Linked DNA regions of Drosophila melanogaster. The protein of the gene in region 3 interacts with the protein of the main gene of each other region in a pairwise test. Each region holds a gene or a part of one and is shown on either strand. Other genes may lie near its edges.

Region 1 (5,900 bases), on a different chromosome or scaffold from region 3:
CACAAATCTTAGTTCACTGTCTCAAATGAACTTTCAAGTGGAAGCGATGGCTCCGCCAGGCGTGTCGTCATCTGATCTTAGCGGCATCGGAGACGATGAGGACGAACAGCAGCAGTCAGGATTTCAGGATGAGAACATCAACCGTCCAGAGACAGAGATTAATGAGAATTCGGTGAGATGTGATCCAATTAATTTAGGAAGGATGCGGACTGGATGTATAAATTCGCAAGCAAATAACAGTTTCCGGAATACGGAGTCTGATCCGGACTACTATATGTTTGGCACCCAATTGAGCACATTAGTACGACCCACGTCGACTCAAGAGCCTGACGATCAGGTAAACTGTCCAGAGACAGAGATGAATGAGAGCTGGGTAAGGTGTGATCAAATTAATTCGGAAAGCTTGTCGATTGGACCGTCAATTGATTCGGAAGGAACTATCACTTTTCAAAATACAGAATCTGAGCCGATCGACGTCACCTCAATAGCCTGATGTCCATATATTAAACTATATAAAGTTCTTCATTTATTGGTGTTAATTAATTAAAAACATGTAATCCCTAAAAATGTTATAAAATGTATAATAAAAATCTTAATTAAAATACGATGGTCGATTAAGCTATGTACACTAATCTAGGATGATCCGCAACCGGAGCTGTACAAGAAGGGTAAACATTTAAAATGCTCGCTTTTACATAATTACGCTATGTACAATTTATATATTGCTAAACCATGGTCCCATGGGGCGCGGCAGGGGGCGGTGGGTGCTACGGGAAGTGGTCAAACAAGAACTGTTCCATGAACAGCGACTCCGAATGCTAGTTGGACGAATTGTCGCCAGGCTCACTGACCGCAATTGTCATCTTCACTTCATCGCCACTGTCTAGTTCTGGATCCTCGTCATCCTCCTCATCCTCGCAATCATCCATATCGTCCTCGTCGAGCTCCTCGTCTTCGTCGTCCTCTTCGGTCAATTCATCATCCTCCTCGTCGTCCTCATCATCGCCGAAACTATCACCCCCGCCGCTGGCCTCCACAGTCGGCAGCTGAACGATCGTGGCCCCGCCCGGCGTCACAGTTGAGCCTGCAACCGTGGCCGCCACACTGGAGGCTCCACTGCCCGCCGCCGCTGAACCGCCGCCCGGAATCTCAATCGTCACAATGCCGTTCACCGTGCTAATGCTTTTCGGTGCATTGCCACCCTTGGTCTCCTGCTTGATGCTCAGCTCAATTAGCTCCACGCCAGAGCGGCTCTTAAAGTGCGTCTTGATGTGCTTCGACAGGTGATCGCTGCGCATGAACTTTTTGTTGCACTCCTGGCACTGGAAACGCTTCTCTCCCGTGTGCGTTCGTCGGTGGCGCTGCAGTTCATCGGAGCGGGTGAAGCGCTTGCCGCAAAACGCCCAGGAGCAGACAAATGGTCGCTCGCCAGTATGCCAACGCAGGTGAGCCCTTAGATGGGAAGTTTTCCCGTATACCTTATGGCAGCCGGTTATATGGCATATATGCTGGCGCTTCTTGTCCGAGTGTTTTTCGCCATCTGTACAATTGGGACAGGTGCAGGCTACTCGCTTTAAGCGTGGTTTGGGCTCTCCAGTCGCTGTTCCACCGCCGCCGCCAGTTGCAGCACCTCCGACGCTGGCCACACTTATGTTCATATTGAGATGGCTTTGTGACGGCGTTGTTATAGTCGTCGTGCTGGTGTTCGTGCTCCTTATGCTGGCAGTTGCTCCCCTAGCCTGCGTCGTGACGGACACCACTTGGCCACCAGTCGGCGCAATTGTAATCTGGGTGCTTGACGTGGTCACAGCGTTGACCTTACTTCTTGCAGGTAACGATACGGGAATTGGTTGGGTTGTGGCTGGGGTATTCGGTGTATTCGTCGCTTGCTGTGGCAGGGCTGTGATCTGAATGGAGGCTGGTATGCTCAGGCTGGACAGGGAATTGCTTTCCGTATGCAGGAACTTGATCTGCTGCTGTTGCGGTGAGGCTGTGTTTGGAGTAGAGGCAGGTGCCGGAGGATTACCAGTTGCGGAAATGGGTCCAAAGGTATCCGGCGGCTCTTGCTTGATGCTGGTGATCATTTGCGTTGGACTCTGCGGCTCCTGCTTGGGCATCACCTGAACTTGGCCCTGAGTTTGCACTTGAGGATGCGACATGGGTAGTTGGGTTAGTACTTGCTGGAAGTTGGCTGGCAGATTAGGAGGCAGCTGATTGGCGTGAATGATTTGCACTTGACCCAGGCCTGGGATGTTCTGGATGGGTAAAGCCTGAAGATTGGGCATCTGCATTGGTGTGGGCACACCAGCTGGAGCAGGAGTGGGTGCGGTAGGCGCATTTGGGCGTAGTTGGGCGGGAATCACGGTCAGCTGTTGGCCCTGGGCATTGGTAATGGTGATGGGCTGATTGGGCGGCAGTTGTCCCCCCGCCGAGGCATCGCTGATCGCCTGAAGGAGCTGCTGGTGCTGCGCCTGGACCTGTTGTTGTTGCTGCTGCTGTGCCTGTTGCTGTTGCGCTTGCTGCTGCTGTTGCGCCTGCTGCTGCTGTTGTTGTTGTTGTACTTGTTGTTGCTGCTGCTGGTGGGGATTCTGGATATGTATAATGTTGGCATTCGGAGGCAGCTGAGGATACGGCATTGCCAGTTGCACCTGCTGAATCTGACCGTTGGGCGTAACAATCTGGGCTATCTGTGAGAACTGCGGGATGATTTGCATCTGCGAGGCGGAGGGCATCTGCAGGGATTGCGCCTGCATCAGGTTTTGCAGTCCGCCGCTCGATGTTGCCGCTGCCTGGACGGGCACATGTACAGTCTGGTAGATGGTCTGTCCGTTAGCAGTCTGAACGGGAATCTGCACAGCAACCGTTTGTTGCTGCTGCGGCATGGCTGGCGCCGGAAACTGCACCAGTTGCGGCCGCATCTGCAATTGGCCGTTCTCCAACTTTATAGATTGCCCGCCGCCTAGTAAATTGGAGATATTGGAGATGTTTCCCAGCAATCCATTCGCCGCCGCTACCGAGGTTGGTATCTGCAGGTTTGTGCCCGGTATGGTGATGCTGCCCGGCAGCTGACCCGCTGTCCCACTATTGGTAACTCCCGATCCATTGGCTCCAGATGCATTTGTTCCTTGTGCCTGCTGTTGCACTGTACCCTGGTGCACTTGTTGTGCCTGCTGTTGTTGCTGAATGAGATTGGTGACGGGTATTTGAATGTTGGTGCCGGGTATGGTGATCAGCTGGGTTTGCTCCTGGCCCAAGCCGTTCAGCTGTTGCAGCTGAATGCAGTTAGAGGCTGCCGGATTAGCTGCCATCTGGGGAGCCCGCAGAATTTGACCGTTGGGCGTGATAAAGGCCTGTTGCCCGTTGAAGTTGACCGCCTGAGCGGTGGCCAGTTGTGCATTGAGGTTTGGTATGAAGATGGCCTCCTGGCCATCAATGTTCACCGTTTGCATGGGCATGGGCTGTACGATCTGGAACATGTTTTGGGGCATGCCAGCGTTCTGTCCGTTCCCGGCAACCGCTCCGCCTGCAAACTGAGGAGGCATTTGGTGAATGTTGATGATCTGCTGCATGGTTGGTGTCCCGGGAGCACCGTGAACCTGCGTTTGTGAAGCTGCTGCACTAGCTCCATTTGGTGGAATCGTCGCCTTGCTGGAACCGCCTGCCGCCAAAGGCGTGGCGGGTGGCGCACTAGTCGCCGCACTGGCGGCACTCTTGTACTGCAGCATGGCAGGGCTTTAGATGAGATTTGGTCAATCACAAGTGCTTGGAGCGAAACATGTTCAGTTTTTTTATTCGCTCAGACGCGCTACTCTGCCAGGAGATTGGTAGCATTTAAACCAAGGTGGCACACATGGGGTTATGAACACTGGGATGCGGGGTGCCGACGCTAACATTCAAACACATAAATAACACGAAGTCTAAAGATAATTGCGCTGCGAGACGGTTTTAGCGAGTTTTTAGTTTTAATTTTGTTTTGACACAAACGCAGAAGAAGAAGTGAGAGTGATTGGCCAGGGTTGCATTGCGTTGCATCTCGATGGCCGCCAATCGACCAACCAGCCAACCGATAGTGCGATACCAATAACAAACCGCTAAAAGCAAGAAGAAGCATATCACAGATAAACAAATTTTTAACCGACAAGTTGCCTATCCGACAAAATCCATATTTAATTAGATTGCATCTTGAAAGGGGCATGGAGCCGGTTCCAGAGGAAGCCCGAGGAGTGGGTGATGACGAAGGGGAACTCGATTGTCTAACACATATGATTGGGGCGTTGCTTTTGCAAAAAGAACCGGAAAATCCTGAAAATGGTGACTCAAAGGAAACAATTTGGAGTGGAGAGCTCGAATGGGAGGATGCACAGATATTGGATCAACCGAAGACTCTGCACACGGTCCAATGCAAAATCTGCTCCATGGTTAAAGAAGGTCAGCCGGAGATCAACACGGAGAACTGGCCAAACAAGCTGAAAACACAACTGATACCCAAAAAAGTGCTGGGTAAAATTGGCGAACAATTCCTAAAGGATGCCAGGATGGTTGTATTCCGATCCAGCCAAGGAGAGGTACTCAATTTATTGATCACGGCGATGAGCTCTGGTTTCGCTGGTTGCATCCACTTCCCCTCCAATCCCAACTGCAACATCAAGGCTCTAATTCTCATCTACTCGCGCGATCATCAAGCTTTGGTTGGCTTCATACCCAACAATGAGGATTCGTTTAGCGAACGACTGCAGGAGATTCTTCAGGGTGCAAAACGAAAGCCGGGCGTCAAAACACCCAAGCAGCCACAGCCAGAAGAACCGCCTCCTGTGGAGGAAGATGCCATTATAAATGAACTCCTATGGACTGGATCGCTGAATTGGTCGACACAAGCAAGTTTAGAGGAGCCAAGCATTAGTCACAAGCTTGAGTGTTCCGTGTACATAGCTATAAAAAACGGTGATCCCGGGATCAGTGCGGAGGATTGGCCAACTGATATGCCTATGGTTTTGATGCCTTCAATTTATCTTGGTCAGTTCGCCGGAGCGTTTATAAAGGACTCGAAACTTATAATTCTCCGATCGACACCTGGAGAAGAACACGACTCGCTAGCATCATCAATGTCCGCCGGCAGTTGTGGCTGTGCCCGATTTTCCTCCGAGGTCGTCTGCAAGGTTATCATGCTGCTGTATTCGTCCCCGAGGAACGCCTTCCTGGGCTTTATTCCGAGAGATCAAGCTAATTTCGTCAAGCGATTGCGGGAAGTATTAGACGAACATCGCCAAAAGGCGAGAAACAAAGAGTAAACAAGTATCTCAAGATGATCTCAAAGTATATTTAAAATATTTATTTGAACTCTAGGTATATCAAATTTATAGTCATCGAAGAAAGTATTGTTTTATAATTAGATATTTTTTTTTTTTTTGTTTAATTATTATAAATATAGACCAAAGAATATTTAAACAAGATACGCTCGCACGTCCCCAGTGGGAAAACATACCAAGGCTAAAATATGTAATCAGATAAATAATCATAAAACTGCGAACTCCTGAATGCATTTACGCAAGTTTGTATTACGAATGTCTGTCATACGTTGCCATATTAAAACTTAACCGATCTTATAAATAAACATTTTTGATGTGCATCTATTATGTTTATGTTCTACAACTAGGTCAAGGACAACTGTGTTATCGCATGTCAGATGCTGCAGCATTAATAGACATTAAAAAAAAAACCCCGACTGTAAAATAAGTAATCTAATGAATGCTTCTATTTAGGAAGTTTGAAATAAAAATAATCTTCCGAATGCAAAATCCTTTCCTTTTCGTATTAGTTGTGAATTGATCGAATAAGTATTTTCATATGTTGGGTTCATCATCTTCGTCTTAAGGATTACATTTTCAAAGGTCAATTAGTCT
Region 2 (4,789 bases), on a different chromosome or scaffold from region 3:
GAATTATTATTGTAATACGCATCTAGGCTAAGCGAATCCAATCCGATTTATATTGTATGTTAATTCATTTTTGTCTGTTTACCTTACCCTTATCTGTGTTGTCTCAAAGCGAGCAATTTATTTAGGTTATACTATATGTTGCGTGTCAGCCTGCCCTTCCGATCCTTCTTGACCTCCATGGTCCGCTGTCCTGCAGTGCCGCCCGATTCCTAAGCACGATCTGATTGAATAAACAGTGATCCCTTCCTAGGCGGTCCCGGGAACCCATGGCCAGTTGCGGAAACTCGGTTTAGCAGGCTACTCGCTTAAAAGTGCACTCCTTTAACGGATGAAACAAAAACCAAAATGTGAAATCTCTTTTATTATGTATATGAAGACTTTTTTAACTCAATATAATCCTCTATGAATATATAAATATGCTTTTTATACAATTTGTAAGCCAGACCGTCTTATGCATTTTCTTGTAGTCTCCCATTTACTCAAAGTGTAAGGGGGCATACTATTTGTATTCTTGAGGAGATCACTAGCCGACTCCATCCAGTTACATATGTATGTACATATATGTACGTCTGTCCGTATGAGCGTCAATATCTCGGAAACTTTAACAAGCCGAATGTTCCAACTGCCAAGCCCATTTGTTTGTTTGATAAGTTTACTTTTGTTGTATTTCAATAACAATAGTTAGGCATTCATATCCTTTAGATACATTTGCAGTTGTGTTCGCCTGATGCCTGGCAAAATCTTAACCTTTTAGACACTTTTCACAACTGCTTGTCTTGCTTTTTTAGAGCGAAACCAAAATGCTCATTCAACGTATGCATTCGAAAACACAAGCAAGCACAAGAGTAACATTGCGAGATTTCACTATCAGCTTTTCCAATCACATTGGCATTATTGTTAGTAGAACAAAAGTTTTACTTGTACATATTTGTCAAGCGTTCGTCGAAAGAGCTTAAGGATCCTCACAACCTCAAGTATCCCTAGTTCAACCCATACTTGAGTATTGTCCGTGTGTATGGTCTCCTCAACACGTCTAGCATCAAGGTCTTGTGGAATCGGTACAGGGACACAGCCAGGATAATCCCTACCATCCCATCAATCATTCTCATGAAAAGAAGACTTATTTTTTCGAGACGAAAACGATCTCTATGTTGGATACATATTTTAGACGGAAGCAGTATCGGGTTTCAGATTGTAGAAGATGATGTGTGGGTAAGGTTAAAAAACCAAGAAAGAGATCGAAAAATAAGAGCAAAGTCAGTTGCAATCTGAGAATGGTTCGATCTCGACCTGAGTATGCTGAGCATGATTCGATCTTGGCTAGATTTTGAGATCGAAGTTCTTAAATCGAGATCGTTGAGAACGGCTTTTTCTCTGACTGTGCTGAGGTCAAACCCCCTTTTTCTGGAACCAGCAGTTCCTCCAGCTCCCTTGCTGGTCTATTACAATTACCATTTACCATTGTAAGCTGTTCCAAGAAAAGAACCTCGGCTTCTAGAAATCGAATCTCGCAGCGATGACTTCCTCACGAAAGCAGTTGAAAAAACAGAATATTTATGATATATAGCTCAATATTTCGGACTTTCTTACTTGTTTATTTATGAATATAAACCTATAGGCAATCTGAGATCTAGGAGCATTACGATCTTTCGCTTAAGAATATGTTTAATTTGCATCCGAGAACAAATTAGTAAAGGATTATTGAGTTGTAAATATTTGTTCATGTGTAAACATCGGTTTTCGTAGATTGCCAACAGATGGCGCTGTTTGTCACAAGATGGACAGTATTTTCCTGCTGTCTTACACATGATTGTCGGCTACTCGGTATTTTTTCATCATACGGTCACACGGCGCACATGGTGTGCGGTAACAATTTTTTTTTGCCGGCAAAGAAATGTAAATTCAGCCATGATTCGTGCGATTTCAATCCGTTGGCTGCTGCAGCGCCCGGGGGACAAACGACACTCCGCCTGGCTGGTGGCCAGGTCAAAGAGCTTACTCGTCCGCAACCTGAGCACCACCAATCAGGTCAAGGGCGAAACGGAGGAGCCCTCGCAGGCGGATCTGTTGCGCGAGTTTGCCCACATGCCGGTGGAGCGCATTCGGAACTTCAGCATCATTGCGCATGTCGATCACGGCAAGAGCACGCTGGCTGACCGGTTGCTGGAGCTCACGGGAGCCATTGCGCGTAATGGCGGGCAGCACCAGGTACTGGACAACCTGCAGGTGGAGCGGGAGCGTGGGATCACGGTCAAGGCCCAGACCGCATCGATCTTCCACCGTCACAAGGGACAGCTCTATCTGCTGAACCTCATTGACACTCCTGGTCACGTGGATTTTTCCAATGAAGTGTGTTTCATGTCAAAAGTCTGCTAATTCTTCTGCTAATCATTTGCCCATTACCCAGGTTTCGCGATCTCTGGCTGCCTGCGACGGCGTGGTACTCCTGGTGGACGCATGCCATGGTGTCCAGGCTCAAACCGTGGCCAACTATCACTTAGCCAAGCAGCGTCAGTTGGCAGTGGTTCCCGTGCTCAACAAGATAGACATCAAGCATGCAAACCCTGATCAGGTTTGTCAGGATCTAAAGCTGCTGTTTGGCATAGATCCGGACGAGGTGCTGCGCGTGTCCGCCAAGCTGGGCACCGGCGTATCTGAAGTCTTAGAAAGGGTCATAGAAACTGTGCCGCCACCACAAGTTCAACGGGACAGCGACTTTCGGGCCCTAATCTTCGACAGCTGGTTCGACAAGTATCGCGGAGCCCTTAATCTAATTTATGTGCTGAATGGCAAGCTAGAGCAGAATCAGGATATTCAGTCGCTAGCCACCAAGAAGGTGTATTCCGTCAAGAGCATCTCTGTGTTGAGACCAGCCGAGTGTCCTGTTCCGGATGTATCCGCTGGTCAAGTGGGCTTGATTGCTTGCAATATGCGCAACAGCAAGGAATCCATTGTGGGCGATACCATTCACCTGAAGAACCAAGCAGTCGCCGCCGCAGGAAGCTATCGACCGCAACAGCCGCTTGTTTTTGCTGGAGTTTTTCCCGCCGACCAGTCAAAACATGTCGCCCTGCGCAGTGCCATCGACAAAATGGTACTCAATGACTCAGCGGTAACTGTAAAAATTGATTCCAGCCCAGCTTTGGGACAAGGTTGGCGTTTGGGCTTCCTGGGACTTCTGCACATGGAGGTCTTCTGTCAGCGCCTGGAGCAGGAGCATGGCGCTGAGCCCATAATCACCGCGCCTTCCGTCACATATCGTTTGGTCTTGAGTAATCCAAAGATGATCAAGCAACAGGGTCGCGATACAATGGACATTTCCAATGCAGCCCTCTTCCCGGAACCGCATTCCATCAAGGAGTACTATGAGCCCTTGGTTTTGGGCACAATCATCACGCCCACGGAGTATGTTGGCCAGGTGATCAGCCTGTGTGTGGAGCGTCGGGGATTGCAGCAAAGCTCGGTGAACATCGACGACACCCGTGTGCTAATGAAGTACGTACTGCCGTTAAGCGAGATCATCCTGGACTTCCACGACCGCCTCAAGTCGTTAAGTTCTGGCTACGCCAGTTTCAGCTACGAGGACCACGGCTATCATCCATCGCACTTGGTTCGATTGGACATCCATCTGAACGGCAAGCCCGTGGAGGAGCTCTGCCGCATTGTCCATGTGTCCAAGGCCACGGGCGTGGCACGGCAGATGGTTCTCAAACTCCGGGAGCTTATTCCAAAGCAGATGGTACAGATCGCAATCCAGGCATGCGTGGGCAGCAAGGTGCTAGCGCGCGAGACCATCAAGGCCTATCGCAAGGATGTGACAGCCAAGCTTTATGGTGGGGATGTCACCCGGCGGATGAAGCTGCTCAAGCAGCAGGCCGAGGGCAAGAAGAAGATGCGCATGTTCGCCAACATCCGCGTTCCTCACGAGACCTTCATCAATGTGCTCAAGCGGTAGGATCAATCCCGACCAGAACATCGCTTCTCAAAGCTATTTGTGGACAATTTAGGTGAGTGATTGTTGCCATTCCAAAAATGGGCACCTAATATTTCAATTAATAGTAGTTGGACAGTAATGCTAGGAATAGCTTGTACTATTCAGTCAACTGATAACCTTAAAGTGGATTTTTGGGTCTCTCCAATCCATACTTTATTAAACAACAAACAACATTGTGGTGTTCTTTTCCCTAATTTAAATGGAAATATTTGACAAAAGCCTACATATTTAGTATCGTTTAAAAAATACTTGAGGGTGCGGCTGTCGCTTATCATTATGTACCCTTCAACCGCCCCCATTTTCCTCCCGAGTTTCCGCGGCTTGTGCGATACGTCTTATCATTGTTTGGCTCTTGGTCGCAAATAGAATAATTATTCCGTCTTATGATAATGTACTCGCGGAATTGGGCGCGGTTGTGGAACGCCCCTTTTTCAAAGTTCATTAACATTAGAAACTAGACTAAAACTAGCACAAAGCTAACCAAGAGGTAGCGCAGTGAGAGTGGGGAGTGTTTGTCGCAGCCAATCGATATTAATTCTTTTATATTTTTATAAATAAATGATCTGGTAGATTCGTTGTCGTCCGTATAAACGTCCTGATCTCTGAAACTACAGGAGACTTGGGATTGAACATGCGCATGTTTAGTTTAGTTTCAAATGTGGAGGAAATTAGGTTCAAGTTAACTAGAGGACATTGAACAGAACCGAGTAATCTGAGTAATCTCTAAGGAACTTGGATTATTAATAACTTTTCAAAAAATCGTGTTCGATAGCATCATACAAATTCGTTTAGTTT
Region 3 (5,557 bases):
ACGAGTACCAGGACAAGCTGGAAACCCAGCCGGAAATCAAGGAGTCCGAAGAGGACAAACCAAGTGCACCTCCCAATGCCTGCGGCGACAATGAATCCTTGCTTATTGAGCTTTCCAAGCAGCTGGAGGACAGTCCTCTAATAGATGCGCCGCTGGATGAAGATATACCTGCCCAAAATAGCACTAACAAGCTATGGTCCCGCTTGTTTAGCCAGCAGAATCAGCAACCCATACCGAGCCAAGTAGCCACGGACTCGAAGGCAAGTGCAGGTGGCGCCACCCCGGTTCCCAGCAAATCGCAGACCACCAACAATCCCTGGCTGGATCTTTTCGCCGACTTGGATCCCTTAGCCAATCCGCAAGCCTTCGATTTAAAACTGAGCGGCGGACGCAGTGTGGCCGAGCAGACCTGAGCAGATTACCCTCCCGCACAGATTATATTTGTTGATCTGCATATACCGTTGGAAACTAGCTAGTCAAAATGGAGAATCTTTGGATGTAACTTTTCGCTAAACGTTCAAAAACTTTTTATGTTTTATTTAAATAAAATTTATATGGGACACAGCAGCTAGAAGTGGATGAGGCGGACGAGAGGCAGGTAAAGTGGAGCAGGAGCCGCACTCATTTGACCGCCGCCTGTGCCTCCTTCTTGGAGTTAACCAGCTCGACCAGCTCTTTGACGCGACGTAAGCAGTCCTTTTTACTGCGATTCGGTATGCAGGCGGCGATGCAATCCCAGCGATCGGGTGTCGTCGTTGGATAGGTTTTAATGGCCTGTTCGAGCAGGGCTTGCTCCTCCTTGGTCCAGGTTTTGGAGGCAGCACCGCCGCCCGTAGACCCATTTGTGGCCGGAACTGGGGCTGGTGCAGCCGTGGGGTTTGCTGGAGCTGGAGCCGTGCCATTCTGCTTGGTTGACTGATTGTTCGCCTTATGATCTACACCGTTTTGTTTCAAGTTCTCCTTGCTCGCCTGGGCCGTCTCCTCGCCCAGGGTTATATCCTTACACGTCTGAACATCTTTCTTGGACTTCTCGAAACTGGCAAATGCCGCATCGTTGGCTTGAGTCTTCAGGGAGCTCTTCGAGTGATCTGTGTTCTGGAGCGCCTTGGCTTTGTTGAGCACATCCCTGGCATTGACCAGAACAGTGTTATCCGGGCTATGCTGGTTAATGAAAGTGGCTATGACATCCCAACGCTGTGCAGTGCCAGCGGGAAACAGATTAACCGCCTTGATAAGCAACTGCACGTTCTCATTGCTCCAGAGCTCATTCTTCTTGACCTCCTTAACGCCTTTTGGCGTGGCCGCTGAGCTGGCAAGCTTCTTGGCCTGTGTCTGGTTAATCTCCTCCAACTCGGCAGCTATCTTCTGCTCGGCCGTTTGAAGGGCAGCAACAAACGACTCACGGCCCTTGCTTTCCATTGCCTTATTTAGAGCTTGCAGCTCTGCCAGATTGAAGGTCTCGCAAATCTTCTCGGTGCCCTCCATGTGCTTCAGCTGATCCTTGTCGTTCTTGGCATAATACTTGCAGTCCTTGACCTTGTCGCGCAGCGTTTTGCGCTCCTTCTTAAGCAGCTTTTTCTGCTGCTCGCGTTCGATGCGGATCTGCTCGATGCGTTTCTGCTCGGCCTTTTCAGCCTTCTCCTTGGCCAAAGCCGCTTCACGGATGGCACGATCAGCTTCTGCCTTCTGGGCCTGGGCGGCGTCCATCTTGGCTCGCTTGGCAGCAGCCTTGCGATCCTTTTCCTCCTGCTTGAAGCGCTGAATGCGCTTATCATTGTTGTAGGCTAAATCGACGAGCGACCGGATACGAGACATTTCCTCCTTCTTGCGCTTGATTCGAGCCGCCCTGTTCTCCTTTTCGATCCAGCGACGTTCGTCGCGGTCCTGGCCCTTCTCCTTGTCCTCTTCGTCCAAGTAGCTGAATTCCCGCCATGACTTAAAATCGTACCAGAAGTTGTAGAAGCGCTCCACCTCTTCGCGTTTGGCGTCCACCTGCCCGAAGGAGGGAACATGCGGCTTTTCGCTCCAGCGCCCGTTAAGTGTGAAAAATTTGTTAAATACGCCAAAGTAGTCGTTATCGATGTCGTTCTGTGAGGGCAGCGAGTCGTCAAACTCGGGATCCACTGAGTCAAAGCTGCGGCGCGGCTTGGATGTGCCTGGAATACAAGATGGAGTATTAGATGGTTTAAGAGGAAATAGTTTAAAATCTTCCTGTCTATTTCGTACAATTGTTTACAATTATTCAAAGTGTTTAAAGCCAAAAAAATTCTGTTGTATAATAGTAAGTTATAATTTGGCATTTTGTTTAAAAGAATGTGAGAGCAAACAACTAGTCCTATTTTTAGATATGCAAAAATAAAGCTTCAAGTTCTGCGCGCTTAGACAAAGGCAACAGCACACCAATGAATTAGATCGAGTATAAATTAGTTTCAGATAATTTAAAATCTTAATTGATTATTATACTCAACAGGATTGTATGGTATCATAATTTTATATAGCTTAAGCAAATGCTCTGAAAATTAATATCAAAATATTCTTATCTGTCGATTTGCATGGGCAATGCGAAGTCCGAAGGACACCCAAGGATCAGCAAGGACATTTTCTTGACACCCACCCAGTATCTCGTAAGCTTTGGTTATGCATGTGAAGTAATCATCGTCCTGGATGACTTCCTCGCCCTTGGCTTTCCGCTTATCGGGATGGTGCAGCAGAACCATGCGCCTGTAAGCCCGTCGAACATCATCCTCGCTGGCCTCGTATCTAAAGGGTGATTTAGTCAGACAATACAGTATTAGTTGGGGAAGTCCCATTAAATATTGATAGAAACGAACACATGGGAAGAACACCACGTGCTGCCGTCGCACTAACCGGAGCTTGCCCAAGCCAAGAACGGCGTAATGATCCTGGTCCTTCCACTCCTTAGGATCCAGCGACTTTAGGTAGCTGATGTCCACCTCCTCGCCCACGCCCTCCAATTTCTCATCGCTTTCGCTGCGCTCCACGCCGCCGGGAGCTAGAAATTGGCGCCGTTGCGCAAAGTAAGCGAAGCCAACGCGCTCGATTTTACGGCGAACGACCTTGAGCGGCAGCTGCACCTCCACCGCCGTTGCTACCGTACCGCTCGTCATCTCTGGTCAGGTCCGCTGGTTAATGGGCATTCACCGCCACTCCTGTGGATTCACGTTACTCAAAATTTGGCGATCCGCTGCCTTCAAAACGTCGAAATCCAATTAATAATCACACTTTTCCGCAGCACCGCATGTGTTTCGACTAGTGGTGGTGAAACATCGATGCCATCATCGATTATGGCGCTGGTAAAATCGATTGGCTTCCTACTCTATATTTGATCGATAACAGCAAGCATGTATCGCTGGCACTTATTGGCAGTGCTGCCAGCTGCTATAGCTAAAATCGAATGGCAACTGTTGTATTGGTTTGGCGCCAAAGTGTGACCGTATCTCAACTAATGGTTATTTATGATTTATATATTTAGTTAACCGTCTTAACAAATTATTAATCCACGTTCATTACATAACAAATCCTACACTATTAAATACATTCCACATTCGAGTTTTTGTTATAATGGGCCACTAAAAAAAGAAAGTGTCATACAATAGTTAAGAAAACGACTGTTTATAATTCATTTGAATGATAACTTGACGTATATTCCAAAAACCATTAAGTTCTACCATTTGTTAGTTTTGCTTATCACATTTATTTATAACGAATTGTATAATTACAATTAAAGTGCTAAATAAGTGCTGGCTGTATAGTAATACACCTTTTATTTGCCAAAATCCATTTCACATTTCAGTAACACTTGACCTCATTACATTTAGATGGTCGTAAAATATTTTATACATAAGTATGCTTACTTTATTTACATTTCCGCTCTTTGATCAAAAGAAACGGTTTGTACAACTAATATTTGGTTTTCTAATTGATTACTGGCTGTTAAATTGACTATTAGTACTAGAAAACTAGTTGGTACACATTATGGTTGAATTGAACGAAGCTAGTAGGTTCATTGGCATTTCGTATGGTTGGCTTTTGTGGGAAGATCCAAATATCTTACTCTAAACAGATTTGAAACGCACACATATAAACGACAGTTCTTAAGTTTAACGACTAGAATTGTGCTGAGATAAATGTAATTCTTGCAACTTCAAGTATGGTGATTTAAAAATTCTACTAAGTAGCTTCAGTGTCGTTCTCCACCATTTCATTTCAGTGTTAAGCCAAACTTTGAAACATATGCCGGCGTAACTCCATTTGTATAAAATCGTTCCAAAAATAAATTCATCAGACACTCTATCGCCTTGAGATCGACTTAGACCCAGTGAGTGCGCGTACTCGGCTATAACGCATCGTTGTGGCTCTTCGATATCGTCGTCTCGATCTGGTCGATCCGTCGGAACGAGGGCATATAGCTAGAGCTGGCCTGCGTGACGATCGAGTTGTTGGAGGAACTCTAAAATATTGAATAGGAAAAATATATCATTATATAAGATAGGTTCTAGAAAATACTCTTTCTAATTAAACAGAATCATATGAACAACTTAAATACTATTTGATATATAATAATTTTTGAAACACTACGTATTGTACCTTTTTCTGTCGATATGAACGTCCCCGAACACGGGTTGTATTCCGGCGCACAGGATTGACCGTGGTGGACTTTTGGGATAACCGGACCGAGCTGAACGTGCTTCCCCGATGTCCTCGACGGATTTGCGGCGAAGGAGTGCCCGTGGCTTAAGCATTAGAATCAAATTAATGTTATAAGAATTTTAAGTTACCCGAAAGGAACACTTACGTGTTCCGGCAATGGCTGTGCTGCGTTTGCTAGCCTGAAGCATTCCGAAAACCACGGCACTGAAGGATCCATGATGGGAGGTCTGCCGCTGAAGATTCGGGGTTTGGGCCAGGGGAATCCCGGCTGGCATGCGAACCGGTGAGATCAGCTGGCTCTCCGATATTCCCTTGGGATGCACATAAAAGGTGGTCATCATGCCCTTGCCCTTCACAGCGATTTCACCACGTTTCTGTGGGATTTTGAAAAAACGTATAAGAATTCGGGATAGGTAACAAAAGACCCACTTACCACACACGTGTAACCCCTGGAGCAAAGCAATTCCGCCGTATTCTCCGGAACCTGAACTCGCCAGTTCTCGCCCGTGGAGTCCATTCGTGATGCCACATTGACCGTATTGCCCCAGATATCGTAGACCGGTTTCCTGGCTCCAATCACTCCACTTACCAAAGGACCACTGCAGATGCCCACACGCAGCTGGAAGTTATTGAAGGCATCCCCATTGATCTCCTCCAGCTTTTGCTTCATGGCAAATGCGAACTCCACCAGGTCGCAGACACTATCCTCGGAGGTCTCGCCGCGAAGTCTGAGATGCTCGTGATTTAATCCCGCTGCCGCCATATACGTGGCACCCACTGTTTTGATTTTCTCCACCGATGCGAATCGTGGCTCCTCCAGCAATTCATCAAAGTCACCTGGTTTGATTTGTGCCGTGCGGCATCATTAGACATTTGCAACCGGGAG

What was found.
Region 1: the proteins of CG10565 (region 3) and Spps interact in a two-hybrid assay, tested with the Drosophila melanogaster proteins (one large-scale study listed by BioGRID).
Region 2: the proteins of CG10565 (region 3) and bbx interact in a two-hybrid assay, tested with the Drosophila melanogaster proteins (one large-scale study listed by BioGRID).

Annotation. Positions count from the first base shown.
Region 1 is NT_033777.3:24,222,931-24,228,830, forward strand, and holds Spps (Sp1-like factor for pairing sensitive-silencing), read right to left. Parts: upstream 4,005-5,900; 5' UTR 3,726-4,004; coding exon 819-3,725; coding exon of another isoform or gene 768-818; 3' UTR 515-767; downstream 1-514. Other genes in the region: cav (caravaggio), read left to right, coding at 1-493; CG13609 (uncharacterized protein), read left to right, coding at 4,194-5,288.
Region 2 is NC_004354.4:21,361,253-21,366,041, forward strand, and holds the start of bbx (bobby sox), read left to right. Parts: upstream 1-1,775; 5' UTR 1,776-1,806; coding exon of another isoform or gene 1,807-2,349; intron 2,350-2,407; coding exon of another isoform or gene 2,408-3,955; 5' UTR 3,956-4,007; intron 4,008-4,789. Other genes in the region: waw (waclaw), read left to right, coding at 1,807-2,349, 2,408-3,955.
Region 3 is NT_037436.4:21,132,750-21,138,306, forward strand, and holds CG10565 (uncharacterized protein), read right to left. Parts: upstream 3,605-5,557; 5' UTR 3,129-3,604; coding exon 2,869-3,128; intron 2,761-2,868; coding exon 2,615-2,760; intron 2,157-2,614; coding exon 622-2,156; 3' UTR 501-621; downstream 1-500. Other genes in the region: ICA69 (islet cell autoantigen 69 kDa), read left to right, coding at 1-413; Ac78C (adenylyl cyclase 78C), read right to left, coding at 4,358-4,471, 4,609-4,754, 4,817-5,045, 5,105-5,508.